Linked DNA regions of Xenopus tropicalis. The protein of the gene in region 1 interacts with the protein of each later gene in a pairwise test. Links are inferred from orthologs where the notes say so. Each region holds a gene or a part of one and is shown on either strand. Other genes may lie near its edges.

The links.
Region 2: the proteins of lmtk2 (region 1) and myo6 interact in a two-hybrid assay, tested with the Homo sapiens proteins (2 studies listed by BioGRID). The link is inferred for Xenopus tropicalis from reciprocal best matches to the Homo sapiens genes LMTK2 and MYO6.

Annotation. Positions count from the first base shown.
Region 1 is NC_030685.2:25,911,063-25,927,325, forward strand, and holds part of lmtk2 (serine/threonine-protein kinase LMTK2), read left to right. Parts: intron 1-389; coding exon 390-477; intron 478-4,062; coding exon 4,063-4,196; intron 4,197-4,618; exon of another isoform or gene 4,619-4,678; intron 4,679-4,936; coding exon 4,937-5,021; intron 5,022-5,995; coding exon 5,996-6,117; intron 6,118-6,348; coding exon 6,349-6,498; intron 6,499-8,102; coding exon 8,103-10,806; intron 10,807-12,424; coding exon 12,425-12,566; intron 12,567-13,170; coding exon 13,171-13,416; intron 13,417-15,325; coding exon 15,326-15,354; 3' UTR 15,355-16,263. UniProt on the Homo sapiens protein: Phosphorylates PPP1C, phosphorylase b and CFTR.
Region 2 is NC_030681.2:90,514,957-90,531,219, reverse strand, and holds the end of myo6 (unconventional myosin-VI), read left to right. Parts: intron 1-700; coding exon 701-832; intron 833-1,994; coding exon 1,995-2,021; intron 2,022-6,755; coding exon 6,756-6,974; intron 6,975-8,063; coding exon 8,064-8,263; 3' UTR 8,264-8,986; downstream 8,987-16,263. UniProt on the Homo sapiens protein: Myosins are actin-based motor molecules with ATPase activity. Unconventional myosins serve in intracellular movements. Myosin 6 is a reverse-direction motor protein that moves towards the minus-end of actin filaments.

The DNA.
Region 1 (16,263 bases):
CAGTATATACACCCTTAATCAACATGAGTTGAATAGGGCTTGTGCTAAATACACAATGTCATGAAAAATCTTTGGTTTTTGGTATTTCTTGAACTAAATAGGGCAAAGTTAGAAATTCAAGCTACTCCACTCTACACTGCAATTTCTATATTTTTAAGGTTTAAAAAAACATGTTTACTGTTTGTTAAATAATGAGAGTATAATCTAATGTACCTGAACTTGAATGAAAGATACCAGGGCTATTTTGGGTGACTTTCATCTGACTAAATACAGGATTTAATTTTGGCAGTAGCCCATCAAATAAAACGTGTGTTTTAATACATATAAAAGGCTAAAATGATTGTGGCTGAATTTACTTATCTTTTATTCACTTGTCAATTGTTTTTCAGTTTTCTTCATCATCCTAATATTGTGCAGTGTGTTGGGCACTGCATTGAAACCATGCCCTATCTCTTGGTGTTCGAGTTGTGTGACTTGGTAAGTCAAGTAAACAAAATGACTGTATAGTACAAGTATGGGGCCTATTATCCAGAATACGTGGGACCTGGGGTTTTCCTGAGAAAAGAACATTTTTTAAAAATTGGAATTATGTGCTTAAAACGGCCTTCCCGTAATTTGGAGCTTTCTAGATAATGGGTTGCCAGATAACTGATCCCATACCTGTACTTAAGGGCATGAGATAGCAAATGGAAGCATCTCTTGTTCATTTAAATATTGTGCATTGTCTGGATTTTTTTTTTTTTTTAAATGTGTTTTTTTTTTTTGTTTTTCTTTTTTTATTAACAACCATGTGTCTGGTACATTTAACCAGTGGAATATCTTTTCCATTGTGCTCTATAATTGTGGGCATGACAGTGTGTCATTGTCTGCACAGAATAGTTATCAGTGTGAAGCTTTGATAAGTTAAAGGACAAAGAAAGAGATGCATATGTTATAGGGCCTCTCCCCATTTAAATTGTACCACCCACACTCCCTGACATTGCCTCACAACTGGTAATAAAAAGTAGCTTAGCACAATGGGGTCGGCAGCCACCATGTCTGTCTGCTTGACTTCCTCTTCCTAGCTCTCTGGCAGCGATCACCCACCAGGATACAGTGCAACTAAAGGCAGGAGTATATTGGCTTCAGCTGTGCATGTTGCTCATCAGTCATTGTCTGTTTTTTTGAAAAGGTAAAATGTTTAAAATATATTATGTATTATTTGGTAAATCTAGAGCATTGTTATTTTAGTGAGCAAGAACTTAACTGCATCCTTTCAGTTTTCTTTTCTGAATCACTGCCATTTGTGATTTCTAGTAAAAATGTCTGATTCATAACAGACTTCATTAAATGCTATTCCAAGGTCAGTTACCTTCTTGTCTTTCTTATGAACGAGGAGGCATTTTTATAAAGATTTATGGCTAACATTTAGTCAGTATATCAAAAAGTATGATTGCTTTATAACAAGTTTTATTATTTATAGTAAGGTGAGTGTCTTTACACCTTAGCCTGAATGACTAGAGTCTGGAGGTATTTATGGCAAATCTCTGGGTATTGTAATGTGTAAAATGTAAGGAATTTATGATATACTGTTCTCCCTAGCGGCTCATGGCAGCATAGTAGTAACCTTACTATCGCATTACTCTTGCACGTCTTATATTTGGGTCATAGGTTGATATGCTCTCTGTCCAATGTCTCTAGGGTAATAGCAGCAGTAACTGTATGTGATCTAAACTAAACCTATTCAGGAAAGCAATTATTCATTTAGCGAGGGACTGTGCTTTCTGTACTTTGGTGGGCCATCTGCTAAAGCCAGCTGCTTGGGAAAATCAACTCTGTGGTTATATGTAACCCTGCCATTTCCCTAACCTTAGCACATCTGTAATCTGACTGCCTGTGTAAGGTAGCTGCCTTAAGGCTGAATGCAACTGTTCAAGAATGAGGAGAATGTTACAAGTATATTGTGCATCAACCAATTTACATAGCAAGCAATAAATACAGTAAATACAACTTCCCCAATTGTGATAAATGTCAGTATGTCTTCTTAAGCAGTGCCAATGGTTTAAAAAGAATACTTGTGTGCTACTTTTAAATAATTTTCTACCACCAACATGTCCAAGCTGTGAAATAAAGCTTAAGATGAACATGTCCTTTTAAAGGAGAAGTAAAGAGTAGGCTAGAATCGCTGCACATTGTTATGGGCTTCTATACCAGCCCAAAGCAACTACTTGCCCCCAGCACAGCGGTTCTCAACCTGTGGGTCGGGACCCCTTTGAGGGTCGAACAACCCTTTAACAGGGATCGCCTAAGACCATCGGAAAACGCATTTTCCGATGGTCTTTGGAAAAATTTTATGGTTGGTGGTCACCACAACAGGAGGAACTGTATTAAAGGGTTGCGGCATTAGGAAGCTTGAGAACCATTGCCCCAGCAGTTCCCCATTATCTTTTCTATTGATTCATATGCTTTGTGCTGTTGTTACTGAGCTTAGGGACTGCATAAAACTGAGTCACAATACAAGGTTAAATAGCAATTCATTTAGTTATTAATTATCTGGTAGCTCACAAACCAGTGCAATTTGGACCAGGATTTAATAAAAGCTCTCCTTTTAATACCATGCCGCAGGGGAGTTTATTCATCTGCACTTGGGCGTACACTTGTGCACAGTAGAGTAAAAATGTACTAAAAATACTACCTATATCCTGCTGCAAATTTCAGAAATAGTAGCCAAAAACAATCCTGAAATCAAACAAATCTGCCACTAAGTGTTAAAGGGTTAGTGACACTTTTACACATTTCAAGTTCTTTTGACTGTTCTGGTAGCGTATCTGCCCATGTATGAGACCCCCGACAACCCCCCCCCCCCCCCCCGTTGATACCTGCCCAAAAATCGTACAGGTGTCAATCAGGTCCCTAGGGCCAAACGATCAAATTAGATTGATATCGGGAGAAGATCTGCTCATTTGAGAACCTCGCCAAACAAGTGGATCTTACCATGTATGGCCACCTTTATTAACATTAAATTTGGACGGAGGGGCAAAGTTTAGATGAACAAATCATATGTAAGCCAAGCCCCAGCCTGTTGGGTCTTTGGGTCACCCCTGAAGTCAGACACCTACCAAGGGTAAAGTAGCTGCAGTGACAGGTACACTGACAATTTACTTAGCTTTTCCATGGTGCCTTTAGCACAGATTCACATGTGCACATGCGCAGTAAAGCTGAAAAGATAAGGATACAGCTAAGCTGAGCTAGGTGGCAGCATCTAACCATTTAAAAATAATAGTCTCCCTACAAAAAAGTGGTTTGCAAGAAAGCCGTTTTATTCCTGTTACGTACTTGCCTTTTAGGAAACTGAGGTTTACAGGCATGCTTCAAAATGCTCAGAGAAGCAACATCTGCCTTCTCACAAAAGTACTGTAGTAGTAGTAGTATTGTACTGGGAATTTTGTACCCAGGGCTACCATAGAAATGAACCTAGTTTCCCTGCTTTTAGAGGTGAATTGTTTGCATCTCTAAGCAGTATCCAAAACTGACTGCCATTATAGTAGTGTAGTATAGTAGCTACAGAGGTAATGAGTCTATCAGCGGGAATGTAGACTAAATATATGGAGCTCATGGCCCAGTTATAAGCAATTCTGTTTTGCAGAGCTAGGGCCCTTTGTTCATTTCTGACCTATGCAATGGGGGCAATAGATTTATATGTATTTTTTAAATTTATGTAGCACAACTTATGTATGGAGCGCTGTACAGCAAATCAGTAATACAGAAACGGGTAATTACAATAATATAAAGTACAGTTACATTAAAGATTAGGTGCTAAGTGGCAAAGAGACAAGAACAAGGAGATCAAAGTTTCAAAATACAAGTCTTGTTTATGTTTGACCTTTAAGTTATAAAATGTACTGTTTCTCTGTTTAATGATTTGCCTTACTCTTCTTTAAAGTGTAGTTTACCTTTCAAATACATTAATATGTGTCCAAAACTATTAAACTGCAAAACTTTAATAACCTTGTTGAATACTTAGAAGTTTTTCTGAACCGGCAAATGAGCCCACTAACTTCTGCCTCCATTTTTCTTTTGCAGGGTGACTTGAAAACTTATTTAACCAATCAGAGAGAGAAATTGAAAGGGGATACAGAAATTGTGCTGCTCCAGCGAATGGCTTGTCAGATAGCAGCAGGACTTGCCATAATGCACAAACACAATTTTGTGCACAGGTATGTACTATTAGCAGCAACGCAAAACCTAGGGGACTGACGAGCGGAGACGGCACTGGCCCGGTCCGTTTGTCAAATTTTAAGTCAATGTGGCCCCTGAGCCTAAAAGTTTGCCCGCCCCTGGTCTAGCACATGGGATGTAAAATGGCTTGCCTAGCACTATAAACATTTAGTAAACCTATACAGCTCCATAAATGTTCACATACCCAAACAATATTGCCACAGGAGCAAACAGAGGCATACACCCAAAGAGCAGAGATGAAGATGATTTACACCTTATTCAGAACAGTTTCTTGCAGAAATCTTTATTTTTTTTATAATTCATGAACTTTAAATGAAGGATGTGTATTGCAAAGAAGTCTGAATGAGTGGAATTAAACCACCGTCTCCATTCCACTGAGAGGCCATGTGTTTACTTCTGGCAACAATATCCTGATGCCGTCTGAGTGTGCGGGAAAGCTCCAGCATCAGTGATTTTGTTGGTGGTGGTAAATAAAAAGCATCTTAGACTCTGCTTTGGACTTCGCATTTATCATTGTTTTAATGTCTGATTAACTTTGTGCATGTTATTTTAACATGTTTCCTTGCACATAGAAATGTAACTTTATCATAACTCATTGAGTATACTGGTAGCTACCATCTGCTTAAAGAAATCTGTTTTGAGTTTGGTTTTCTGATTTGGTGAAATAACTGTTACGTTTGCATTAGCCGCGCTTTTAAACGTTGTCTGTATTTTTCAGTGATCTGGCGCTCCGGAATTGTTATGTTACATCCGATTTAACCGTAAAAATAGGAGACTATGGCATAGGATTCACTAGGTATAAGGTAAGTAGGGTTTTTGGGGTTTTTTTTTCTTCACTTCTGTAAAATCAGTGTCAACATTCTGATTAGAACACTGATACTCCCATGTTGGGAAGCTGTTTTGTTCAAAAGTAATTGCATTACAATTTTATTTTTAACTAATTTATTCACTGGAGGGCACTTTCCCTACCTCTTTATATAAAAGTGGCTCCTGCCACTGACATATTAGATCTCAGGCATACTGTAAATAAAAAGATTTAGCCTCTGGCCGACATGGCCTTATCTAATATTGGGGTCTCTTTTAAACACTGGGCAAATTTGCCCATACGTAGTAACCCAGTAGCAACCAATCAGTGATTGGTATTTTTTAGCCATGTTGAACAATTCAAGTGAACATCTAATTTAATTTGGTTGTTATGAGTTACTGCCCAGGTACAAATTTGCCCAATGAGCCCCGAATTAAAATTTGCTGAAGCCACAATACAGAGTTTCTCCCATATATGTGTGTGATTACACAGACGCAAATTGCACCCATGACAAAGAAGCCAGCTGAATGATCTTGCTTATACACCTAATTTTTGTGGTGTCATGTAGAAAAATTAGGCAGAAAGGTGACATTGCATTTTAAGCCTGATCAGCATGTGTTAAGTATAGAGGGCTTCCTTGCACCTTTGTGTCCATTTGCATTTGGAGCTAGAAGTGGCTATTCATGGGTTTTTGGTGTGAAAACAGAAGCAAACTTGCTTGAGCTAAGCCTTAAGTTGTTGTGGCCCTATGGATTCACTACATGTTTCACTTAGCAAGAAAAGCCACACAGAACACATTTTGTAAATATATTTCAAATGCAAACAAGAGAATGGGCTACGTGTAAATGCTATTTAATAACAGAAACCTACATACACACTGTAGGCTGGATTGTGTTCTGTGTCCTGATGAAAAATGAATATAACTTTTTTTGTTTCTTTGTAATATAATCTAATAGATTTTTGACATTTTAGGAAGACTACATGGAGACCACTGAGGAAAAGTTTATTCCTGTTAGATGGACTGCTCCAGAGTTAGTGACAAGCTATCAGGATCAATTACTAGTGGCAGATCAGACAAAGTCCAGTAATATTTGGTAAGGTGTGTGTGTGTGTGCCCAGAAAATGCCTGTCTTTATACATGTGGCTTAGTCCCAGAATTTATCTAGATTTTATTTAAAAAAAAAAAAGTGTGATGTCCACTGCAGAGTGCCATGATTGAAGCACATAAGGTCCAATAATGAGTGCCACATGTCAAACTGCAATACATATGGATACATAATATCATAATGCATAAAAAAACCTATTGATGATTTTCTTATCTCCAGGTCACTAGGGGTAACACTTTGGGAGCTATTTGAAAATGCAGCCACTCCCTACGAAGATCTGTCAGACAGTGAAGTCTTGGCTCAAGTCATTAAACAGAGAGAAGTTAAACTTCCTAATCCGCAACTGGAACAACCGTATGCAGACAGATGGTAACGTAAACTGTTCTAATATACTGGAGTGTGAAGGCTTTTTCAATTGCAAATAACTTGTCCGCAAAAACCTTTTATCTTTTCAGTCTCCTTGTGTGATGACACAAATGTATCTGCTTGCTATTATTCACTGCAAGACTTACCACTGATATATCCATCCATTGAGTGGTCATACATCCCAGCAGGCTTGGATAAGTCTGAACAGCCCTTTCCTGCTAAAGGACCCACAAACATAGATTTAGCTGATTTCTTTTTAGTATATTGAACAGTACTGCACTGTACAGTTAGGTTTTAGCATGGCAGCCAACATTATTGTGTACCTTGCTGTTCCAAACACAGTACTTAAAGGAGAAGGAAAGGCTAATAAAGAGTTAATCTCAAGCTGCAGGCATACCTTCAGTTCTCTCAATAGTGCCCTTAAGTCTCCCCATATTTCACCTGTTCAGATGATCAGAAGCCAAACAGGAAGAAAAAACGCTGAGTTGTGTAAAGAAAGTTCCCATAATGCCTCACTCCTGCACAGAGACCGAGACTGAGTGTACATGCTCAGTTAGTTAGACTATGAGTCAGCTTCCTGCTGATTGGCTCAGATCCACATTCCTAAGGGGGGGGAGTGAGTTCTTAGCATTCTTGAGGAAAGGGGTAGCAGGAGAGAGCTGCGTGTTTTGAATTACACATGAATTACAGACACAAGAAATCCTTTTTTTTTTTTTTTTTGTTTTAGAGAAGTCAGTGCAGCGTTTCTGTGAGTGCTTCTGGCTGTATTTACATAGACCTTTCTGATAAAGCTTACTTCGTTTTTATCTTTCTTTCTCCTTTAAAGGGATAGGTGAATATTTCTTGAAAATGCAGAATTGCACCTGTTTAAATAAGTTACTGTTACTTGTGGTATTTTTAAAGTGAATATGATGACTGAGGTGTCATGTACTGAAAGGCACTAAGTTTGCCGAGGAGCAGTAACCCATAGCAACTAATCAGCAGGTAGCATTTACTGGTCACCAATTTAAAAGCAGTCTTTTTATTGGGTGCGATTGGTTACTGTTCCTGGGCAAACTTAGTGCCTTTTATTACATGTATGTATTTTTTTTCCCCCCTCCCGAGGAACTACAAAAGGCTTGAAAAAAACATTTGATGATTGCCTTGTGTGCCATTGCCCTTAAAACCATCACTTTGGCCATATCTTTGGCCATATCAGTCTGTTTTAGCAAGGCATGTTTGTTCTGTTCTTTTATTAAGATTAAGACTGGAATGTGTAGCTGGGATATAGTTATTCCTGGGGTCACAGACTATAGAAAGAAGCAATCTTTAGTATTTGCTTAATTATTAAAATACCCTTAAAGCTTCTTTATACAGGGCAACTCATGTGCTGTTATTAAGTTTATCCTTTATGTAGCAATGTTTATATGTATCTTTGTAGACCCTAATGGTCAGACACAGCGGGTCCATGCCCTGTAATGCTGCATAATAAATGTAGTTCCCTAGGGAAGATAAGGGGCATACTTATAAACCCCCATGTTGGGTAGCATAAATATATTGTCAAGCTAAATGATTAATTTCTTGTTTTTAATACACTGCTCAACCAATTAATTTTCTTTCTGTTGAAGGTATGAAGTTTTGCAGTTCTGTTGGTTAACTTCAGACAAAAGACTCACTGCTGAAGAAGTCCATAGACTACTTACATACCTCCGCATGCAGAGCCAGAAGGAGACGGAAGATGACTTTGAACAACGTTGGAATTCTCTTAAACCAAACACTAGTAATCGGCAAGCATCTACAAATAACTTGGCTTTTCCAATCTTGGAGCATTTCAGTGGCGATGAGCTAAGCCAAGAAATGGATGAAGTTCTTACTGTTACTGAAACGAGCCAGGGGCTTAGCTTTGAGTATGTATGGGAGGCAGCCAAAGAAGACCACTTTGAAGAGCAGGGACACTCCGATTCTGATGCTACGGTCAATTACAATAGTTTATTTTTCCCAGTGCCTGTTGATGTTTTACAAAAGCCAGGTGTTGATGCAGAACAAGGGAAGCCAGAACACAGTGGGCGCGACAACACCCTTGGTGCTTCGGAAGTTGTTCCAGTATTTGATTCCCACAATGTTTCGGTTGCCAATGAATATTATATTCAATTGGAGGAGCCAGGAGAAAGCAGATTGGACTTTGATAATAAGAAACAAGAATCAGAAAGTGCAACTTTGCAGTTTATTGCCCTTAATGAGCTCAAATCATCTGGAACAAACATAAAATCTGATTTTCTTCCATTTGAAGCTGAACATCGCCATCTACCAGAATATCTGCATGTTTCTAGTGACAGTTTTCCATTCTATAACTCAATTAAGAATGTTGATTGGTCTGATAAAAAGCCTCTTGGTAGTACTGTCCGTGAGCTTCCACTACAAAATGGTCTTCACGCTGACAATCCCTCCCTTCCATTTTCTGAAAGCTTTAAATATTCTGAAAAAGAGTCCACTATTTGGGGAAATATTCTAGAGACTGACCCCGTTGTACTAAATGTGGAGGAATTGTCTGAAAACTTCCTGTTTCTTAGAGAAAATCATTTGTTATCTGACTCTCTGTTTAAGGGAAACAAAACCTATGAGCCTCAAGCAGAATTTTCAAGTAAAGTCAGTTCGCAAAAGCTCTTTGAAATCTCCCACACAAACAGTTTGGATGTGGAACTCCAGCTTTCAGAGTTAAATTCATCTGTGCTCCAGTCAAATAAAACTAGTTTTGATAACTCTCCACAAACTGGGCAAGAGAGTGGTCTCAAAACAGAGTTAACCTTGCCCTTACCTAATACAGAAGGTCTGACAAATGATTTTTTTGTAACCTCAGTGAGACCTGGACTCACAGATAACCAACATACAGCTATTGAAGTTAAGAACGTAAACCATGCAAGTGAAGGTGTACCGAACAGCCAGCTTGCTCCTAAGAGCCATGCTGCAATAGATGATAGTATTGATCTTTACAGATCAGGCAGCAATGAAAATATATTTGTTCTGCCAAGCACCAAAGTGGTTAATGATGATGCACCTTTAGGGCAAGCGTGCCTCAACTCTGTAGAAGCTCCTTCACCCCAGCACCACACAGACAGTGCCAGTGTGAATGATGATGACCTAAATCCATTCATTGTAACGTCTGCTGTTCCATCTGATTCTACAAGTCAGGATAGCCTGTTAGATGATAGTTCAAATTTTATGCCGTCTTTGGTGCCATCCATAGGAACCCCTGATTCTTTAGACTCTTTAGATGTTCAGAATGTGCTAGAGACTCTGGAAAGTGAAGAGCATCAGAAATTTGGACATTCCGATAAACCTGCTGATAGCGGCTACGAAACGGAGAACGTGGAGTCTCCAGAGTGGACATCTCATGCTAATGGGCAGTTAGGCCATGACCCTAATGAAAGGAATGGAGTGTCTGCTGCCACTGCTCCGATTATAATCATATCAGATGCTGACCATCTGTTGGATGATGTCGGCAAAACCCAAATGCCTACAGATGTAAGTCCCAGTTCTTACAGAGACTCTGCTTATTTTTCAGACAATGATTCTGAGCCTGAAAAGAGGCCAGAGACCAATTCAAATCTGCCAGTATTACTCACATTTTCAGTAACAGGATCATTGTCTGAATCCACTGATAAAGTAATTAGCCCCGAGTTAGCTGCCAAAAATGAAACAGAGGTGGAAATTGTGTCACAAAAAGATGACCCGAGTTTTCCACTGCAGTCCGTAGAACAGGTAGAAACCGACCTGAATAAACATGAGGATTCAGAGGAGAATGAACATTATGAAGAATGGAATGATTTTTCACCCAGTTCTGAAGATGATGCAAACCATTTTTCAGCTGAACCAACCCGCCCAGAAAATGATGAGGATTTTCTAAACCCTTTTGGAGCATCAGAGATCTTTTCTTCCATGAATAAACTGAAAGAGATGCCAATTGTAAGCCTCCCTGATGCTCAGAAATTGAAAGAGCCTGATATGGAAGGGAAATACCTGGGAAAACTCGATGCATCTGGCCTGCTGGATTTGTCATCAGAGGACGGCATGGATGCAGATGAAGAAGATGAAAATAGTGACGACTCTGACGACGATATAAGGGCTTTTAATCTTAACAGTTTTAGCTCTGATAGTGATGATGACATCGTCCATCCTGTTCCTGTTGTTCATGTGGAAAATGATGACGGAAGGCACCTAAAAAGCCTAATAAAATCAAGCAAACCTGCTACTGACATGTTCTCTGAACTTGAGAAAAGGAGCAGTAAAGCTGTGAGCTTCTTTGATGATGTCACGGTCTATTTATTTGATCAGGTGAGTGTCTGCTAGCCATGGCCGGCACGTTAAACACTTATTCTGGCCCTTTATCCCTTGATAAGCCTGATGTATTCTGCCACTTTTGTTTCAAATGTTAGCTTAACATATCTATTTATCAGAAGCTTAAAGTGACCTGCTTACAGGAATAGTTCACCTTTAAATTAACTTTTAGTATGTTATAGAATAACTAGTTATTAGCAACTTCTCAGTTGGTCTTCATTTTTTAATTATTTGCATTTCTGTTCTGACTCTCTTCAGCTTTTAAAAGGCTGTCACTGGCCTGGCAGCCAAAAATGATTGCTCTGTAGAGCTACAATTTAATTGTTTCTTATTATCATTCAGGCCCTTTCCTATGCATCTTACAGTTTCTCATTCAAGCTACTGCCTCATTGCTAGGGTAATTTGAATCCTACCAACCATATAGCTGCTGAAATTCCAAACTGAAGTGTTGCTGAATAAAAAGTTAAATAACCCAAAAAATTTCAGAATGTTTCAGAATAGCACGCTCTACAACATACTAAAGATTAATTTAAAGCTGAGCAACCCCTATACCCCAACTATATGGTGCTGGCTACCCAGTTTGTGTTTCTATGACCATCATTAATGGTTTGAGTGTTTCCATGTGTGTGATGTTGGGCAAGAAGGCATTACCTTTTAAATGTATATGAAGCTCTTGCTGTTGACATTAGATCCTGAATTTGGCTAATTATAAGATTCAGACTCATCATTGGTCATTTCAGATATACAATTATGATTCTTAAAAGGTTAGCTTTTCATATGATGTAGACAGACATTGCATTTGTCCTCATTTTTTTTATTTTTGTGTTTTTTTTTTAATTATTTAGCTTGTTGTTAACCAACTCTTCATTTTAGGCTAATGTCCCACTGGGAGATTTAGTCACTGCCATTTTTAAAAAGCGAGTTCCAGCAACAAGTCGCTCGTCTTTTCCTAACAAGCGATTACTAGAGATTTCAACAACAGAGCGATTCTGTTTCCCACAAATCCAAGTGTCATATTCCCCGCCCACAATTAGAAATTACATTCAGTGCAATATGGGGAAATCGCAGCCACTTCCCACTCAGTGGGTTTTACTTTTAGCGATCCCAATGCTTTCTCTGTAAAATCGCTCGAAAAAGGGTCTTATAGCAATTTGGAGTGATAAGCGGTTTTAAGTAATATCATCTGTTTAGGTACTGATGATTTATATTCTTCTCTATGTAGAGACAAAACAAGCGACTTGATGCTGGAACTTGCTTTTTAAAAATCGCAGCAACTTAATCTCTCCATGGGATATTAGCCTTAGAATTTCAGCAGGTGTCTGGTTGCTAGAGTCCTGTTTATGCTAGCAATCACTGGGTAGATTGAATAAACAACTGAATATAAGACATTTTTGGAAGCTGATGAGCTATTCCAGTTGACTAAAGCAAAGTCTGTATGTCTTGGAGACCCGTTACTTTATTGCATATTATAGAAACTTCACCTCTTGGCTGAACAGCTGACAGACCTGTTAATACTATTTTGTGGCCCCAAAATAGCTGACCCCTTGTTTGCTGAAAATAATTTGAATTTTAAAGTTTGGTGCACTTAATTATTGTGTAATTTTAATTTTTTTAGGAAACTCCAACCAAAGATCTTGGTTCTCAGGTGGTGGATACAAACAGCCAAATCTTTAGTAGCTGTCCAACTACTCCTCCTCCACCCCCTCCAAGTTACCTAAACCGGTTTACAAACTCTGAGAGTTCTACTGATGAAGAAGGTAAAGAAAGTTTGCGCCAGTGTCTCAACTGAAATTTTATAACTCTTCTATTTCCCCTTTGTCAGACTACATATAAAGAAGCGCCTGCCCAGATTCATACCCTGAGCTATGGCTATAACAGGTCTTTTCCATGCAACTAGCTTTTGTCCAAAGTGCTCTCCCTATGACTACTTGCAGAAGGAGCACTACCAATGGATATGAGCAGGCTCGTGGTCTTGGACTTTAGCATGTGGGTAGCCCCAGACCTAATGCAAATGCGGCAGAAGGGGCTATTTAAGATATTAAAAAGGTGTAAAACAAAGCCCCTTTAGATTAGTATGCCCTAAGGGGAAACGTAGTGCACTATGTGTCAGTGAAGAACAAAGTTTTTTGGTTTTTTTCCCTCTATACTGTTTATTAAAATATGTATGAAATATAGTAGCAGTGGTACAATTGCAATTTGTAAATATCCAAACTGAAAACAGAAACATTTTTTAGATTTGGCTTTTGTGTTTTTTTTAAAACTTTTGCTATTCTGAATCTGGCAATTTTAATGACTGGTTCCTGTGTATGTGATATATTATATACCTTTCATATAATAACGCTGCTGTTCTTTTCTTTTCAGGGGGCGGCTTTGAATGGGACGATGATTTCTCCAATACCGAGCCTTCATTTTTAACTAAACCAGCAACGGGCTTCAGTGGGCAAAAACTTTCCATGAATCCCTCTAAGTACTTCTCACCTCCGCCTCCAAGGAGTTCTGATCAGAACTGGACGCACACCCCGTCTTATTCACGTTTCTCTATTTCACCAGCAAATATCGCCAGTTTCTCTCTTACGCATTTAACGGACTCCGATATAGAACAAGGAGGTGAGGTGTTCAAAAAGAATCAAAAGCAGATTTAACATGGGATAAGAAGTTCCTCTTGTTTTTCTGGGTGCCCCCCTGCAGGCCTGGACTGGCAAACATTAATTCTGGCAAATGCCAGAATTTAAGGTGCCAGAGACAGTCACTATTTATTGGTCTGGTGGGGGGATGTTTGGGCCTCTTTGTACTTGAAATTCCAGGACCTATTTTGAATCCCAGTCCAGGCCTTTCCCCGCTGTGTACTGGTATCCTGGGCATAGTGTATGCAGATGTAACTGCTAATAAACACCAAACAATAGGGCACAACATTCCTGAACTTTTCTGATTGTAACTGATACAGTTTCCACTTACCCTTGAGGAGTGCAGTACCAGTAACAGACAACTGTGGGGCATTGGCGCACCAACATTTCATAGAATAATAGAACCCCTGCAAGTTCTCAGCAAAGTAAGAGCTTGATATGAATATAGCAAGGAAAAAAAATCCATAATAGAAATGTTTATTTGCACTTGCATTGTGCGCTTGACAAGCGATAAGATAAATGTCCCTGTTAGCTTTCAGCACGTTTTTTTCTGCAGGAAAACTCTCTCCAGATTAGCAGTAAAGTGACATTGAACTAATGTGTGATTCCAACAGATGTGTGGGGGTATGAGAGGGGAACAGCTGTTCCTTGTCTTTTTAGTTAATATTTAATATATGCTGCTCTGAGTGAAGGGAAAAAGATCACTGGCAGTGGGTTTTTTTTTTTTTTTTTTAAAGTATTGCTGGCAACAAATCCAAATATTTATTTGGAACTGCCTTCCCCACCAAGGAATCTGCAGGGAGCCCATGAAACAAGTCACCTTATAAGCCAGTCCTAAGTCTGAAACAGTGACACTGCTCCTAGTTGTAACTTGTTCCTTATTAACTCATTAAAGGGGACATATTCCCTGTAACTCTATGCATGCAAAATTGTGCTGAGCACTTTTGCAGTTTACATTAATTATTCCTTTCCCCTGTTTTTATGATATTAGCAGTTTTTACACAAATACAATAAATGCGTGAGCATTCTCAACTGTTTTCTACAGGTTCATGCTGGAGAGAACTTAAAGGGGTTGTTCACCTTTAGATTAACTTTGTGTCATGTAGAGTGATATTCTGAGACAGAGTTTACAGATGGTCTTCATTACGTGCAGTTTTGCCATTCTTTAGCATGTTCAGCAGCTTTCCAGTTTGGAATTTCAGCAACTATCTAGTTGCTAAGGCCCAGTTTGCCATAGAAACAACTCAGTATTCAGGCCTGAATAGAAAGATAAGAAGTAAAATATAAGTTAACTCAAAGGTGAACTACCCCTTTTAAGAAGCTTTAGTTACTAATAGTGGAATAGCCTCTTGACTACTCTGCTCCGTTCTGTAGCTCCCCTGACACTTAATGATGAGACAAGTGAGCAGGGAAGCATCAGTAGACACCTCCAGCATCATTCATTTAAGCTGCTTTGGTTCTGTCGGGCCAGATTCTGGGCAAAATAGTAGGGGGATATCATCTTACATAGTCATGATATTACAATTGTAAAAATAGCTAATATCACAAAAAACCAAATGGGGTTAAAATGCAAAAAGTGCCCAGAAGAGCACTCTGAGCATATGAAGCTGTATCCTATTTGTTCCCTTTATATAGTATAGGGGATCATGGGAAGGTTCAAAATATTGAGCAGGACTGACTGATACTGCTGATTCGAAGTCTAATGGCCGCAGAAGTCAGTGCATCAGATTTGCCCGTTTTGTTTTTTTATTTTTTTTTCCAACAAGAACAAAGATGACAGCACTCAAGGCCACACTGCCTGCTACAGGAAGCCATTAACCTAATGCGTTTCAGGCTGCACCCTTAGTCATAGATAGCTGTAATAAAAAATGCTTTAATTTGTTTTTTTACAGGCAGCAGTGAGGATGGCGAGAGAGACTGAGCGACACTGGTGTGACAAGGATGGAGAGTGAAGACTTTCACTTTTGGGAGTGCAAACACAATGCATCTATTTGAAGTAACATGTTACGCATGAATTCTGCAAAAGAAATGACAGCGACACACTTTATGTTCCTCTGTGCAATCCGCTTCCTCATCGACGAAAAACCTGTTTCTACTGCCGTGCTCCTAATTACTTGAAGCACCGTTTGCTGTAAATAATCACAGAACTGTAGAATCGGTCCGACTTTGTAGGGATTGTTTTTCATTGTTTTCCTTTTTTTTTTTCCAGCTCGGCTGTAATGATTCTTTTGTATATATCTTCAATCATGTCTGTGCTACTGTAATGATATTTGGGAATGTGTATTCAGTGATGTATCAAAAACACTATGTATTGCTCCTTATTGCACTGTGTAATGTTTTCCTGCCTAATGATACGTGTACAGAGTTTTTAGCCGTTAACGGAGAAACGCCACTCGCCATGGATTTTCTCCTGTGCTCTTGTTTGAAATATTATTCCCTTGTATTGTATCCTGCATAATAAGCTGCTCCTGGGCATCTGGATCTCTGTTTTTAATATGCCGTTCCAGTTCTTGATAAATGCTTACTTTTACAGCAGCACTATGTCGGGATGTGGGATCCCGCCGCTTGCACCTCATATTGTGGATTTTTCACTCCTGCAGACGTTGGTTTGTTTACTGTGAATTGGAATTTGTTACTGGAATGTGGTAGGTGATAAATGATCACAATACAAAATGTTCAACTCTTTATTAGAAGAGCTAAAGTGGAGCAAGGCAACCTTCTTCTAGTGCTCCTTCTGAGCTCACCAGGTGGATAGTATGCCAAGCTCATCCAAGTCCAGGTGGATAGGATGTCAAGCTCGACCATCCCTTATTTTTCTTCATATGCTTGA
Region 2 (16,263 bases), on another chromosome or scaffold:
TGTCCGTATGAATATGTAGCTCTGTTTATTTTATAGCTGTACTAGCAACTCTATCATCAATAACAATATGAAATGTTTAGTACCAGCGCAGCAAAAATCGCTTCACTTACATTTTGAAAAAAAAACGCTATAATGCTTTTTCTCTTTGAGCTTGCAGAATGTATTTGTTTCCCGATTTCTCCTGGTGCTAAAATCTAATTCCTTCTTTGCTAAATGCAGCAGTGCTGTCACGCTTTATGAAAATTCTTGTTATCTTTATTGGAGAGTATTCTGGCAGAGTTGCCATGGGACCTTTTTGAAATGGGTTATTTACAACACTGAAGGCTTTCAAACCCTTTAATAGGATTAATAGCAGAGTGAAACAAACACATAGGCTTTACAGTAAGTCATTTTATGAAAAGGGGATATCAATAGACTACAGTGCATTCATTTAGAAAAAGGAAAAACCTAAATAATTAAGTCAGATTAGCAACTCCCTGGAATTGCTTGACAAATAATATCTTGCATTTTTAATTGCAATGCAGAGGTGCTGACACTTCAAAGAGAACAGAAAATGTTTTCAATATTACATATAAATTTGCATCACTGGGTTTGCGGCTATTTATTATGAAATATATAAAGTGATTAACTGTTGAAATTCATCACCCTTCCTCCTAATAGACTCACTGCCCATAACGCCTTTTCTTTTTGAATTGTACAGATATTGAGCTCCTGGCAGCATGTAGAGAAGAGTTTCACAGAAGACTGAAAGTTTATCATGCTTGGAAATCCAAGAACAAGAAAAGGAATGCAGACACAGAACAGCGTGCCCCCAAATCTGTCACTGACTATGGTAAGTAAAGTGTCATGTACAAAATGAGATCTAGCACTTTATCCTTTACATTCACTTTATACTGCTTCCATATTAATAAATACAAGCAATCCCTGAATAAGAGAGGAGTCATCATGACACTCGTCATTACTTCTCATATTTATAGCATTCCAGTTGGGAATTCTATGCTGTTATCAACCTCTCTGTAGGCACAGTTATGATTTTGCATTTATGGATCATACTTTTCTCTCTTTCACAAAAGTATAACCTGATTTTAAAAGTTCTTCACTTTAATACCTCCTCTTGTTAGAGGATCACTCTCTCACAAGTACCCTGGCCAGGTGCAGTTTTCTGCTAACAGGTGCACCAGCCCTGGGTACCACCAGCTAAGTGATTTTCCTTCTCCTTTAAGGGATTAAGTAATATATAGCGGAATGTTTCTTATAGTTCTTACCACCTATAGCAACCAATTTGAATGTAGCATTTATTGGTCACCAGCTTAAAAGCAAATGTTTTATTGGTTGCAATGGGTTCTTACACCCGGGCAAATATAGTGTCTTTTGTTACACATTGGGCAGTTGTTATAATTACACCGGACAACCCCATATTGTTTTTGTATTCCCCTGCTGTGTCTCCTGGAAATCCACTCCTCAAAAACCCTCTAAATAGGGTTGTGAATCTTAGTGGAAGCTCTTACGGTGCTTCACAAACTAATGTATAAATTGTTAGAGGGAAATTTCCTATTTATTCCCTTGATTATCTTCTGTTTCACAAGGACTGTCATTTACTGTTCACTTTGTATAACCTGCCATTCTTTCCATTTTTCTATATGCATTATTATAAAAGTCTACACAATTGCCTCTGCAAAGTCACTTATAACCAAGTGCTGGATACTGCTGTTATTCAGAACAAAATATCAGGCTATGTATTATTTTAGTTAATTAAACATAACATTTTTTTAAAAATATTTATGTATATGTAATATATGTAAGATACCATGGAAATATAATAAATACTTCTTTGTAATATATTGAAGAAAAGCAAACCATTGCATGCTGGCACCTATGAACCTAAATACCGAGAATATTCCTTCCCATTAACAGGCCTGATCATCGATATGTAATTCATGTAACTGACGGCATGTGCAATGCATGTTTTCAATGTCAACAATGTCTGTTTTCAGATTTTGCCCCATTCATGAACAACTCACGTAAGTGCCGATTTGGTAAAGGAACTAACGTAAGGGAAGTGGGAGATCATTTCCAAGCTGCTACTAACCCAGTTTTGCTACAGTTATGTTAAAACACATACACTATCTGTCAGAATATATCCACTTTATTTGTCTTTCCCAAATGGCCTCAATATTGGAAATGTCTTATGAGCAAAGTAATAGATCAGTGCTGTTTATTTACAGAACAGTAACTGTACCTGCTGTTACAGCTCTACAGCTTGTTAGATATAAGGAATCATGGCGGTGACTGATGGCAGCGCTTCCGCTGAACTATTTAACTCTGACAAGCAGATATGACTGCTTGTACATACAGTGGTATGAGAAACTGTAATGTATTGTCAGGCGGGTGCTAAGAGGGGATGTCATTTATACTGATCCCTTGACATGACACATAGCTCATAACTAATGAAGTGCTTAGAGGTTTTTTTTCTCTGTGTGAAACATAACTGTATCAAAGAGCTTAATGTGAAGAGAGAAAAATGGTGTTGGATACAGAAATAGACTTACATCCATGTGGTTTAGAACATGAAGATTTACTGTAGCTGGTCTCACGCAAGGCCATTGAAATGCGTCCGGTGACATGCTTAAAAAAACATTGTTGCTGATGCATGTATGAAATATACTGGCCAGGTTTTCAGTTGCCTATAATTAACTCTGTGCTTTAATAAGACTGGCCTTCGGGAAGCATAGCAACATTCTTGGTTGTCTTTTTTATATGACTGGAAAGAATTCTTGGTCTAAATCTGCAGTAAATGGAGCTGTACTGCCAGAATATCCCTTCATATAATCAAGAGATGCACAGCCTAGTAAAGCTTTATCTACATTGTATTTACAGTTTTACAGGTGTGTGTGTCTGTACTAAATGCTATGGCTGAATACCCTTAACTGAAGCCATTAACAGTATTTTATTGGTCAGTGTAAAAAGCAGACAGAATGTTTTCTTAAGCTATGGTCACACGTTCTTACTTATATTTTTAAGAAAAACTAATCAGTAAAGCCCGGTTTGCTTCTCGCAATGCATTCTAACTCTAGTGGTGGAGGGGCAAGTTGATGGGAGTGGCACGCCAGCTCTGTGGTTGGAAATGGTTACTGTTGTTATTTTGCCATAGGTGGAAGGCCTTGGATGAAAGTGGGAAAAAAACACTCTAATCCCTTTAACAGTAGAGTCAATTTTAACAACTAAAGGAATTGTCCAAATTGAAGTATATAGAAGCCTTCTCATCATAAAGGGACATCAATTACCCTAGTGCACAGCATATGCTATTCTAATCCTTTGATCTATCCACTTGGTGCTTTACCATGTTTTGAAGGCTCTCCAGTGTGCTTTATTGGTGACACTGGAAAGATGCTGAAATATTTCACTGATACACCGTGGAGATACAGATTGGAGTTAGGGGCTCCTGCTTTAGGGCAATGTCACGTTAAAGAGAAGATTGATGGAGAAGTTGGGCGAAATCCAAAGCGATGCCTATGTTTTCCTACAGGGGAGACTAATCTCCTCAAGTGACATTGTTAATCATTTTCCTCCTAACTTCTGGTTTTGGGCATATACTCAATAAATATATCATATCTTCCTCTTTGTGTAACATACAGCACCCAGCTATTGATTGCAGGCGCACACCCATAGTGATTGATTTTCACTTTTTTTGTTCATTTAATGCTTAGAAAATCAGCACTGTGTTAAAATCTTTTATGTCACTAAGACTTAGTGCCATGCTAGGCAAGCCTTATCAACTACATTGTGTTCTAGAAATAGACTTGTCAGAATTATTGGGTGACAAAAACTGAAGTCTGAAAAGATAGTAGGAGTGTAGCGTTCTAAAGTGAAATGTGTCTGTGGTTTCATTGTGACGGATCCATTTCATGCACGGTGTGACGCACATTACATTGTATCCTGGCCCGAGATGTCAATCTACTGGATTTTTGTTAAAAACCTCCATTAGTGAGAAAAGGGTATTTAGTGCAAGTATTAATGTAGAGAAATTCTAGAGGTTTATTTTGAGCCTTGTTTTTTCAAAAAGAATTTTTATTTTTACATTTTCAGGGTTGTCATTAAAAGGTTGTTACACAACTAAAGTGTTAATTATTTCTGTGCTCTACTGTTTCATCTCCCACTATCACAGCCCTCTACTGGATTAAACGTGCTATTTAACTGTGCTCATGTGTAAGTTAAGAGCTAGTTTTTCTGCCCTTTTGCCCACCTCTACAAACTGAATATTTTAAGTCATATATATAACCTAGGCCTTTGTGCTGCGTTATGTAGCTTACACCCCCCATTTTCTAGAGCTTTTTGTGGAGCCGTAATTGCCATCCCTGTATATACCGGTATAGGATCCCTTATCCGGAAACCCGTTATCCAGAAAGCTCCGAATTACGGAAAGCCTGTCTCCCATAGACTCCATTTTAATCAAATAATTTAGAATTTTAAAACTGATTTCCTTTTTCTATGTAATAATAAAACAGAACCTTGTAATTGATCCCAACTAAGATATAAATAATCCTTATTGGATGCAAAACAATCCTATTGGGTTTAATTAATGTTTTATTGATTTTTTAGTAGACTTAAGGTATGGAGATCCAAATTACGGAAAGATCCCTTATCCGGAATACCCTTGGTCCCGTGCATTCTGGATAATGGGTCCTCTGTACTCTGATTTTCTTCTGGTCCTACCCTTTTTATATAAAATGAAAAAGAGACAGTTCTGTTGCTCTGTTGCCATGATAAATGTATTTGAATATCAATATGTTTTAGAAATGCTGTTTTGTTAAGACCAGGGTTTGAAAAGTATTATCCAATTTCTACTAGTTAGGAAATCAAGTGAAATTCTAAAGACAGTGAATGGGCTGTTATTTCTTAGGATCAGGAAATCTCTAGATTGTAATTGTATAGTACATCATACAGTACACCACATACAGTAGTTAACACTGATACTTTTTAAATACAGTCTCTTGTGAGTAGTCTTTGATTTGAGCAGGCCAAGCCTTATATATATAATATATAACATAACATTTATATAACATGAAAAATGGAGATCTGTAGCTCTTTGGTTCTGAGTGAGCACAGTCAGGTATCTGTTGTAAGTAGAATGACATCTCAGTGGATTTATTTATACTAAGTTATGAGGCTTCCTTTAAAAAAAATAGAACAATCAGTGGGGTGATGTATGATTGGACAGGGCTCTATTCAAAGGATGCTGTATACATTGCAACAGAACAAACAGGCTATGTATTTAAAGACTCTAATTTAAATAGACACAGGGTATCGAGGGATGGTCCATTTTGGCTAAAGTCTACCTGTCTTCCTTAGGTAATTTGGCTATATAGAGAGTCTTCCTTCCAATATCCTTAAAGAAATAGTAACAGGAATAAATAAAGTAAATAAAATATAATGTACTGCTTCCTTGCACTGGTTAAACTGGCGTGTTTGCTTCAGAAGGACTACTGTAGTTTATATAAATAAGATGCAGTGTAGCCATGGGGACAGCCATTTAAAGGAGAATAGGCTCAAGTTACATAGCAGATAAGCTGTGTAGAATATAATGGCATTCTATAGAGCTCATCTTTTCTCCGCTATTTAACCTGTGCCATCTAGTCCTATTTAAATTATATATATGATCCTGTGTAGCAATGTAGGTATACACAAAATAGTAGTGTTTCTCATACTTTTTACGGTGTCACTGTTCCTCCAAAATTAATTATGCAAGGTTGTTGAAGACATTCTGACTGAAACCATCATAGAACATCTAAAAAAAAGCCCATGTTGAAGGATCATGCCAGTTTTATAGCCACTATCATGTAATGACTGAGGAGTTCTGGGTTTCCCACACTCGTTCAACTCTCTCTTACAAATCTTCATGACCGAAAAGAAGTTCTGGCAAGATTGTGATTTCTTTGCACTGCTGTAATGAAAATGTGAAAATGATGGGTAGAAAATAGAAGCTCTTCCTGTCTGGTCCCCTGAGCAAAATGAGGGTTTTGCTTGTTGTCGGACACAAAAGTAGAGGTTATAGGTTCCTCTTAACATTCCTGCCTTGTCCCGCCAAGAAATAAAAGTCTACTGTTGTTGGTGTAAATACCTGGGAGAGTTTCTTTCTAGTCTGCTACATATTAGATAGGAATGAAATGAATAGAGACGTGTATTTAAAATGACTTTTATCCACTGTAACATTTACGGGGCCATTATCTCATTAACCTGTCTCTCCAAATGCATCTGCCCCTCTCTTCCTTTCTGACAAGTGTACATGGAGGAACAGACTGAGAATCTGATACCAAAACCCATGTCTTTAGGTAAAGATAGTGTTTATAGCCTTTCCCTTCTACTAAATAAGAAATCCATTCTTAGAGGCATGATTGTGAGCAATATTACTGTAGTTATGGTAAAGGCAGAGTAAGTGAGCTTCAGTCATTCTAAGAAGCCTGAAAGCTGTATGAAATGAGTGGTGCGACGGATTTTCTATTATGCCATACTTTCCGCTGAGGAAAAAATATAGGCACGATAGAAAAGTGTAGGTCAGAGCCATCATTTAACTGTCAATTTGTTTGGAGATTATGTTACTGCTCTCAAGTAGCTATCTGAATATTTTAGGTTTCACTGAGTGTGCTTCGGTTTCACCCTAACAAATGGCAATCAGCAAATCTCTTAAAATTTTAAACCACTTGATAAAAGGAGTTTTCATATTCATTTTGTTCATTCATTTTTTTCTCTTGTAATAGCTCAACAGAACCCAGTAGTGCAACTCCCCGCTAGGCAACAGGAGATCGAAATGAACAGGCAGCAGCGTTACTTCCGCATTCCTTTCATCCGTCCTGCTGACCAATACAAGGATCCGCAGAACAAGAAGAAAGGGTGGTGGTACGCACATTTCGATGGTCCCTGGATAGCTCGGCAGATGGAACTTCATCCAGACAAACCTCCCATTATGCTGGTAGCCGGTGAGTATTATATCTGTGTGTGTATATATATATATATATATATCACACACACACACACACACTATATTCCAGTACAAATGTTTGCATTTCTCATTTATAGTTTTTATTACTGTACACCATAACATTAGTGTTTTACATTTTCTTAATATTTTTTGTTTTCTTTTCACACAGATCTTAAATTCTAGAACAGTTACCCCAATATTTTAATAAGCTCTGATTTCCTGTTCAGAAAAACTGTCACAAGTTGTCTTGTATAACAGGGTTATACAGGGTCATTCTAGATGTAGAGGCACACAGTATCTATAACTATGGGAGAATTCTACACGCACAGTGTTCAGCATTTTGCTGTACCAGTATGGGATCCATTATCCGGAAACCCATTATTCAGAAAGCTCCGAATTACAGGTCATCTGCCATAGACTCCATTTTAATCAAATAATTCACATTTTTAACAGTTATTTCCTTTTTCTCTGTAATAATAAAACAGTACCTTGTACTTGATCCCAACTAAGATATAACTAATCCTTATTTGAGGCAAACAAACCTATTGAGTTTATTTTATATGAGTTTCAATTTTACATCCCCTGATTTTAAGTTTTCCCTCATTTTACATGTTTTTTTCTGTGGTCCCGCCAATATAAATATAATGCATTATGCATTTCCCTGATTTTACATTTTCCCCATTTGTTTCTGGACCCCTGAAAATGTTAAATGTACAGTGAATTGATGAGCTGGGGTGGGGAGAGTTGCTGAGGAGCAGTGTGCGGGGGAGGTGAAGGCATTACAATGTGTGATAGAATCGATGTGCTCGTCATTCATCTTTCATTGCCAGACAGCTTCGAAAAGCCGAATTAGGGGTAGGCAAAGAGGTATGTGCCCTTAGGCATGTTCTAGCCATGCACCTCTTGTGTCTCCTCCTTGTTCTGGCTCTAAGAAAGGTTGTTTTTTTCCAAAGCAAAAAACAGCACATCCCAAAAGTTTAGTGCATGTATGGAAAATGAATCCACTGGTCTAACACCCTACGAACAATTTTGCTTGCACCACACAAAGAATTCTTTAAATAATGTAAGGTGTTCTATTGTTTTTTAGGGAAGGATGATATGGAGATGTGTGAACTGAATCTAGAAGAAACTGGGTTAACAAGAAAAAGGGGAGCTGAGATTTTACCTCGACAATTTGAAGAGATATGGGAGCGCTGCGGAGGAATTCAGTACCTGAGCAACGCGATTGAAAGTAGACAAGCACGGCCAACTTACGCTACAGCAATGCTGCAAAATCTACTGAAATAGTTCTCAATCAATGGATATTAGTTACTGTCTTGCAGCCGACAAGAAGGGAACTCGGCCTCTGCAAGAGCAGCAAAACATTCCATAATCTTGTAATAGAGAGTTTTATTATAAAGTGAACAGGTTTCATTAATTGTGGGGCTTCAGTAATTTGTATTTTAGTTGTTTTATTTTGGTGTAGTTGTAGTTTCATAGTGAAGTGGCCCTTGCAGGCACCTTTTTTATTAGTAAAATATAGACTGTTTTATTTATGTTGCATCTGAAAACGAGGCCTTACATATATAATGCAGTTGTTCAGTGTGCTAAGGGATGTTTGAGGCAATGTATTTAAATCAACACTAAACCATGATGCACTTTTCATGCTACCTGTTGTTCTGAGAGTGCCTTCTGGTTAATACTGGTAGACAGTGCTACTTTAAACACGTCCCATGGGGGGCAGTGAGAACAGGTGCAGAGATTGCTCCTAGACTAGTAACCCATAACAAAGAACCAAATGTTTGCTTTTCAGAGCAGCCGGTATTACCTGCTGAAGAATTGCTAGAAGGAGCAAAAATTACATTCCCATTAATATCTAGTTTTGTACTCCATGCTAGCTTGTTCTACTTGATACGCACATCACCCTTGCATCAGCTCTTCCTGTTTATAGGGGAACTCCCTTAATAATGAAACCAATTCCATAATGTCATTTTAACCTTCCAAAATAAACTATTTTATTTGATTTTAAAATAATGTGTGAATGTTATTGCTGTTGAAAGCAGTATCTATACAGGCCATTGCCATGCTACACCTGACTGCCTCCAATTCCCACAATGCCTTGTCCGTCACTTAAGGGGAACTCCACCCAAACACAACTTAAGCTTTTTGGAAAGTACATGTAATTTTAATTTCATAAATTCAGTATACATCAATCAAAAATATATAGCCTTTTCATGATTTTTAATGTAATAATATAGTTTGGAACAGTTACCTAAGCCTGGCCCCCTTTTCTCTTGCTGATCTGTCTGACTACTTTGAGACTCAAAGAAAATGTAACAGTAGTTGACTGTCCTCATCCTGCCTTCAGCCTGTATCCGCCAAATCCCACAATTCCCTGCACATGTGATGTCAGTAAGGAAAGGAACCTTACAGTGCAAAGCATGTCTGTAAGCTGTGTCCTGCATGCTGTGGAGATGTTGTTACAATTTGTCATCAATTTGACATCAATGTTTTAGTCCCTCCTTCCCTGCCAGGGCTTCAAATTATGCAGAAAGGCAAAAAGGTTTTGCACCTGGATTTCGGCATATAAAAATGGTATTTATTCATATGATTTGAATGAACATATTACAGTGATAGGTATATTAGGGGTTTCTGTGTTGCGTAGGGCAAATTTTGGTTCTGAAGCCAGAGTTCCCCCTTTAACCTGCAAGGCTTTGTGAGAAGTGGAGTCTTGGCTTGGAAAGAAATGGATACTGCTACAGTTTACTGAGTCTGAAGGAACAGTCTATATCAACTACATTTACAAATAACATTACCACTATAAAAGGCTTAATTAATGTATATGGTAACATTGCCTAGAACTACATTCATTCATTATGCAAACTGTCATTTTTTGTGTGGAGTTCCAATTTAATGCCTGCTAAAGAGATCTAATGGTTTGATTAGATGGTTTAACAAGCATTGTGTGCAATATGATTAATTCTGCAAGAATCCGGATACGCAAGGAGTGCAACCGCTTCTAATTTAGAATCAGTGTGTGATCTTTCTCAGTTTGGACCATCAGCCCATGTCATTTTCAAGATTATTAAGCAGCTCTAATTTGATTTTAATTCATTAGCTTGGAAACATGAGGTCGGGGCTGCCCTGGCTGATCAATTTGAGCTCTATGTGTGGCCAGCTTTATTACACATAATTACATATACAATATCATACTACACTGCTAAAAGTATTTATTGAAGTAATGATTTGGATTTTACCTAATTTTTTGTTTTAAAGTAGAAACATATGTGTTTGCATATCCCTAGTACTTATTACAATATTATGGCCTTGCAGGTCAGTTCTATGATTTCTGTTCTGTAGTAAAAAGTGTGTGGCTGTTGTTACCACTAATATTTATTTGGTTTTTTCTTTAATTGGTCATTGAAACGTTACTGTATGACCATGTAGCGCACATATAGATCAATGAGCAACTGTGAGTATGTTATGACAGCACAAATAAGACTAATGGCAAAAAAATGTAAACAGGGATATAGACTCATTTATCAAGCATTTGGTACTATTGCTTGAAGTGAGACAGTTCTTTTAAGTGCTTGAATATGATGCTTTTAACTAAATAAATATAGTTTTATTTTCAAATCTGGAAGCAATGAGAGAAAAACAGACACCGTATGGTAAGATACTGACGCAGGGGTTGTTATTTCAAGAGCTGACTCTTGTATCAAGATAGCAGTGAGGCCTAGAACCATTCCTGATTCAATATGTGACTGGTATATTGTCCCATAATAGCAGAAAGGTATATTTAGAGTTCATACAGTAGGGTACATTGTTAAACAGTCTTAAACTGCGCTTTGATGTGTGGTAACAAAGTGCTATGTACTTTAACTGACAATGCATACAGATGGAGCAATGGCTACTCCACATGTTTTTTTTTTTAAATAAAAGACTCACAGTATGTTGAAGTATTTTTAGGTATCTTACAATGGTTCATTCCATATTCAGCCATCTGCCTAATACATACCAAGAAATCATTTGGGATAGCAAGTGCTCTGTCTTTCCATTTGTTTCAGCCATTTACTGTTTATTCATTCATATGCACCTTAAAAGAACTTGTCTAACCTGGTGTTTGTGAGGAAAATGTGATTGAATGAGGTTTCTTTTTGACACTGATTTATGGTGTTCTCTGAATGCCATTTTCGTAAAGGCCAGCTTCTTCCCTTCCAGTATGGCTCCATAGTTATTTCTTGCTATAACAATAACTTGTTATTATGAGTTACACCAACCTTCCTATCAACACATTCACTTATTTAACTGACTGAAGTCCTCAGACCAAGACTGGTGTTTAAATTAGGTTGAAATTGAATGCAACACCGATAGGTTTATGTTAAAATGAAATTTACAGCAGGCAACTTAAGGAATGAATGCATTGCACTTTGACTTGTCCTCACCACATCTAAGGTAGCCCCCCTGGGGTGTCACTGTGTAAATCTTAAGAACTGCATCAGCTTATTGATGATATCAGCAATGTAGAAGGGAGGGAATTAGTTTATATTGTTAATGATAAATATCTACATTTATAAAAAGTGTCTTAAATTATAACCTGCCTGTACGTAATTACTTGTTTTAAGCAAACTCTTAAAAAATGCTGGCTAGAGTTGTTAGATGTTGGCCTTGCATCAAAGGAGCATCTTAAAGGGGTTGTTCACCTTTGAGTTAACTTTTAGTATGATGTAGAGAGTAATATTTTAAGACAATTTGCAATTGGTCTTTATTTTTTATTATAGTTTTTTAATTATTGCACTTTTTGTTGGAGCAACTCTCCAGGTTTGAGTTGCAACATCTATCTGGTTGCTAGGGCACAAATTACCTTAGCAACCAGGGAGTGGTATTAAAGGAAAACCATACCCCCAGAATGAATAATTAACCAACAGATAGTTTATATTATGCTAAGTAACCTATTAAATAATCTTGCCAAACTGGAATATATATCAGTAAATACTGTCTTTTTCATCCCTTGAACCACCATTTAGTGATGGGCTGTGTGCTCCCTCAGAGATCACCTGACAGGAAATCATGCAACTCTAACTGTAACAGGAGGAAGTGTGGATGCAAAAGACAAAACTCTGTCCATTAATTGGCTGATGGGGCCTAGCATGTATGTGTGCCTTGGCTTGTTTGTGTGCACTGTGAATCCTATGATCCCAGGAGGCGGACCTTAATTCTTAAAATGGCAATTTTCTATTTAGGAGTACCCGATAGCACATACTACTAAAAAGTATATTGATATGAAATGATTTATTTAGATGAAGCAGGGTTTCATATATGTGCTTGTTTGTGCAATACATTTAAATAATAATATACATACATACAGTATATAAGACCAACATTGTTTGGTGGTATAGTTTTCTTTTAATAGGAAGGGGCCTGAATAAAAAAAAAATAGGTTATAAAATGTAACAATAACAATATAATTGTAGCCTCACAGAGCAACAGCTTTTTGGCTGCAGGGGTCAGTGACCCCCATTTGAAAGCTAGAAAGAGTCAGAAACTAGAAAAAAAAAAAATAATAAAGAGCAATTGAAAAGTTGCTTAGAATTGGCCTTCTATAACATACTAAAAGTTAACTTAAAGCCGAACCACCCCTTTAAATTGTATGTTACAATTTCCTGGGGACCCATGCCCTTAGTGCAAGGTATCTGTATCAGAAACACGTGTGAGCAGTGTGGCATTAACAAGCACAGCCTTAAGGGTTGTTAGTGGGCAAGTTAGTGGAATATATTTATCATGCTGTGTAAAAAGTGGAGTAAAACATTGTCGGTGATGTTGCTCATAGCAGCCAATCAGATGCTTTGCTTTGGTTTTCTAACTGTTGAAATCTAATTGCTGATTGGTTGTCCAGGGCAACATCACCGGTAATGCTTCACTCCACTTTTTACACAGCATGATAAATATATTCCACTAACTTGCCCATTGACGTTGCTCATGAATAAAATGGCACTGGCTTTCAGTTGGTAAAATCACCTACTTCAACATTATGAAATGAATTAATTTGTGTGGAACAATTTTCTTTGTGTTCTCTCCTGAATAATATAGATTTTATTAGATGTTGGTTTTAAAACTTGATCTCAGCTGTAAATTTTTTTTATTTATGTTTTACCTGAAATGATCTCTCATAAAGTGTACTGTATTGTTAGAAAATAAACACATTCCCTGACAAAGGTGTCATGGTGCTTAGAATGAAACCTCGCATAATGCCGGAAAAACTAATTGCAAAGTGATAATGGAATGAGTCGGAAAGAATACAACTTTTCACCTTTTTGCTTTGCTTGAATAAGCAGGGGAAGGGAAATGTGCTTGAATGTTTAGAGAAGATATGCTTTTCTGTGAGCATGAAATGCTTTCTGTTATGCCTGCTTATTGAAGCGGCACTGAATGCTGTTCTTATGCAAGTACGGTGCGGAGCTGGGGGAAAAGTCCCAAGGTCCTGGAGCTAAAAAATGCAATTGGTTTAAAATGATTAGCTTTCAGGTACTGGGCTCATTCACAGAATGCAAAGCATTTCATAAAAAAAAGTTGTAATCATAAGCTTCGTCAGCCAGACAGAGCTTGGTGCCTTGCCCACGTAGTGGCTTTGTAAGTACCAACTACTTGTACCTACCTACTTGTACCATGTGGGCAGAAAGCTTCTGAAACTCTTCACTCTTAATGGGATTGTGTATTGATTTTTATGGAGTACTTTTTATTTCTAAATTACATTGTTTACATAGCTAATAATTCACTCTACCATTTAAAATTTTTATTCTTTAACCAACAAATGTATAAGTTGTAATAATGGTGTGTAGGCAGCCATCTCAGTGCATTGTGCCTGAGTCTGAGCTTTCAGAAGGAGCCAACGCTACACATTAGAACTGCTTTCAGGTAACCTATTGTTTCTCCTACTCCCATGTAACTGGAGGAGTCCCAAGCCAGACTTGGATTTCTGGGAGTTGCTATCTTGCTACCTTCCCATTGTTCTGCTGATCGGCTGCTGGGAGGGGGTGATATCACTCCAACTTGCAGCTCAGCAGAAAAGTGTGACTGAAGTTTATCAGAGCACAGGTCACATAGTTGCGTCACACTGGGAAATGAAGACCATGGCTAGCCCCATGTAAAAAGTCAAAATGAAATATAAAAAAATCTGTTTGCACTTTAGAAAATCATATTTTCCTATGTCAGTATTCCTTTAATCTGTCTGTCACTTCCAACTCACACAGATTGCTCCCAACATCTTTAGGCTTCCAAGGACTAGTTTTATATTCATTTTTTAAAGGAGTAAGATTGCAGTGATGCCAACAGGGACATCTAGGGATTATATCTGCAAGCCCATTCTCACACGTGACTCGAAGCTCTAGGCCAAGACTAACAAACCAATACACAAATGCATTTACAAATAACAAGTAATGAAGTCATTTTATTTGGTCAATAAATTGAGAACAGAAAGTAAAAAGTCCATCACAGATAAGAAAACATAGTTGGTAAGCAGATACTGCAGACATGACTTATTGGTAGCTTTAAGGAAACTGCGCTAGCTTTAATAGTTTCTACATTAAGATGGTATCATAATATCTATATATTTTCTTTAATAGTCTTGTAATATAAATGTAATACACCTTATATTTAGGGATCAGATAAGTACTGTACGTTCTCATCTCTACACAGAGAGATATTACTGGCTCCAAGAATGATGTGATTGACATGAGCTGGCAGGGTACTGAGTGTTTGCATTATTATTATTATACATGGTGCGATTTCCCAAAAATGAACCAATGTTTCTATGAGAGCCAAATATATATTAGCAGAAACTCACTTTACAGTATATTTGCTGCAAAACACGCACAGAGTTCTAGCCGACATGTATCAGTCTAGATCCTGCAACTTTGGGATCATTACCCAGCAGCCTGCAGTCTTCTGAACTAATAAAATACTTTGGTTTCCTGCTATTAAAAGGGTGGTTCACCTTTAAGTTAACTTTTTGTGAGTTAAAGAATGTCCTATTCGTAGCAACTTTGTAATTGGTGTCCATTAGTTCTTATAGTTATAAATTGTCTTCATCTTCGGACTCATTTTAGTTGTAACTGACCCCAGCAGCCGAAAAACTTTTGCTCTTTGAGGCTATACAGCAGTTATTTATTGGTACTTTTTATTGGTACTTTTTATTGCTTATCTTTCTATAAATAATCTATAAATAATCCTTCACCAATTCATATTCCAGTCTCTCCTTAAACAATTGCCTGGTTGCTAAGGTAAATAAGGCCCTAGCAACCAGATAGCTGTTGCAATGCAAAACTGAGGAGCTGCTGAACAAAATGCTAAAGAATTAAAAAAAGACATACATAATAAAAAATGAATACCAATTGCAAACTGTCTCAAAATATGCATTATATTATATATATATATATATATATATATATATTATATATATGCATTATACTAAAAGTTCATTTAAAGGTAATCTAACCCTTTCAACTTCAAATCTCCAGCCACTTGTAGCTCCCATTTAAAACCAGAGGGTTAAGATATATATCATGGGCACTAATTTAAACTCCAATTAAAATAGCAGTGCTTATTATTTTGCAAATCCATTTTCATAATACAATATCATTAATTTGACTTTGATAAAGTGCACCGGGGTGCTAATTGTTCTCATTAACTTGCTATATAGCAATGCAGTAATGCTTCACTTCTGTTAACCCATAACAACCAATGACATGTTTGCTTTCAAACAAGAAACAGCTCCAAATCCTTAGGGAAATATTTGTTATCAAAGATTGTCTTCATGGAAACTGATGTCTAAAAACACAAGGGAGATCTTAATCTCGCACATGGCTTCTTGCACCAGTCGCTTTTTTTTTTTCCTTGCGCACATTCTGGTTCTTTAAAAAAAATAGATGAGGTTTTAAGTGGCAAGCATTATTCATTCATACAAAAGAAACCCACGCAAAGAAAAAAAAACAAAAACTATTGACGCCAGAAAGCGTTGGCAAGCTGTAAGATCTCTCTCCCCTTTTTCAGCATACGTTACTGCAAAAACGATTTTCAGTTGGTGAAATAAATGTCTGTATTGTTTCCCAAGGCACTTTCTTCCAACTTTCTCCTTATGTGGTGCCAGGGGGTTCAGGGAGGATTTCCCTTAGAAATAGAAAAGGCTAATTTTAAGTGCAAAGTACAAATTTGGATGGAAATAATCACGTCCCCACAATGCATGGCGTGATTTAGACTGCTGTTGGTTTTGTGCCTGCTGCAGTTGCACCTAATGTATTTAAATGCATGCA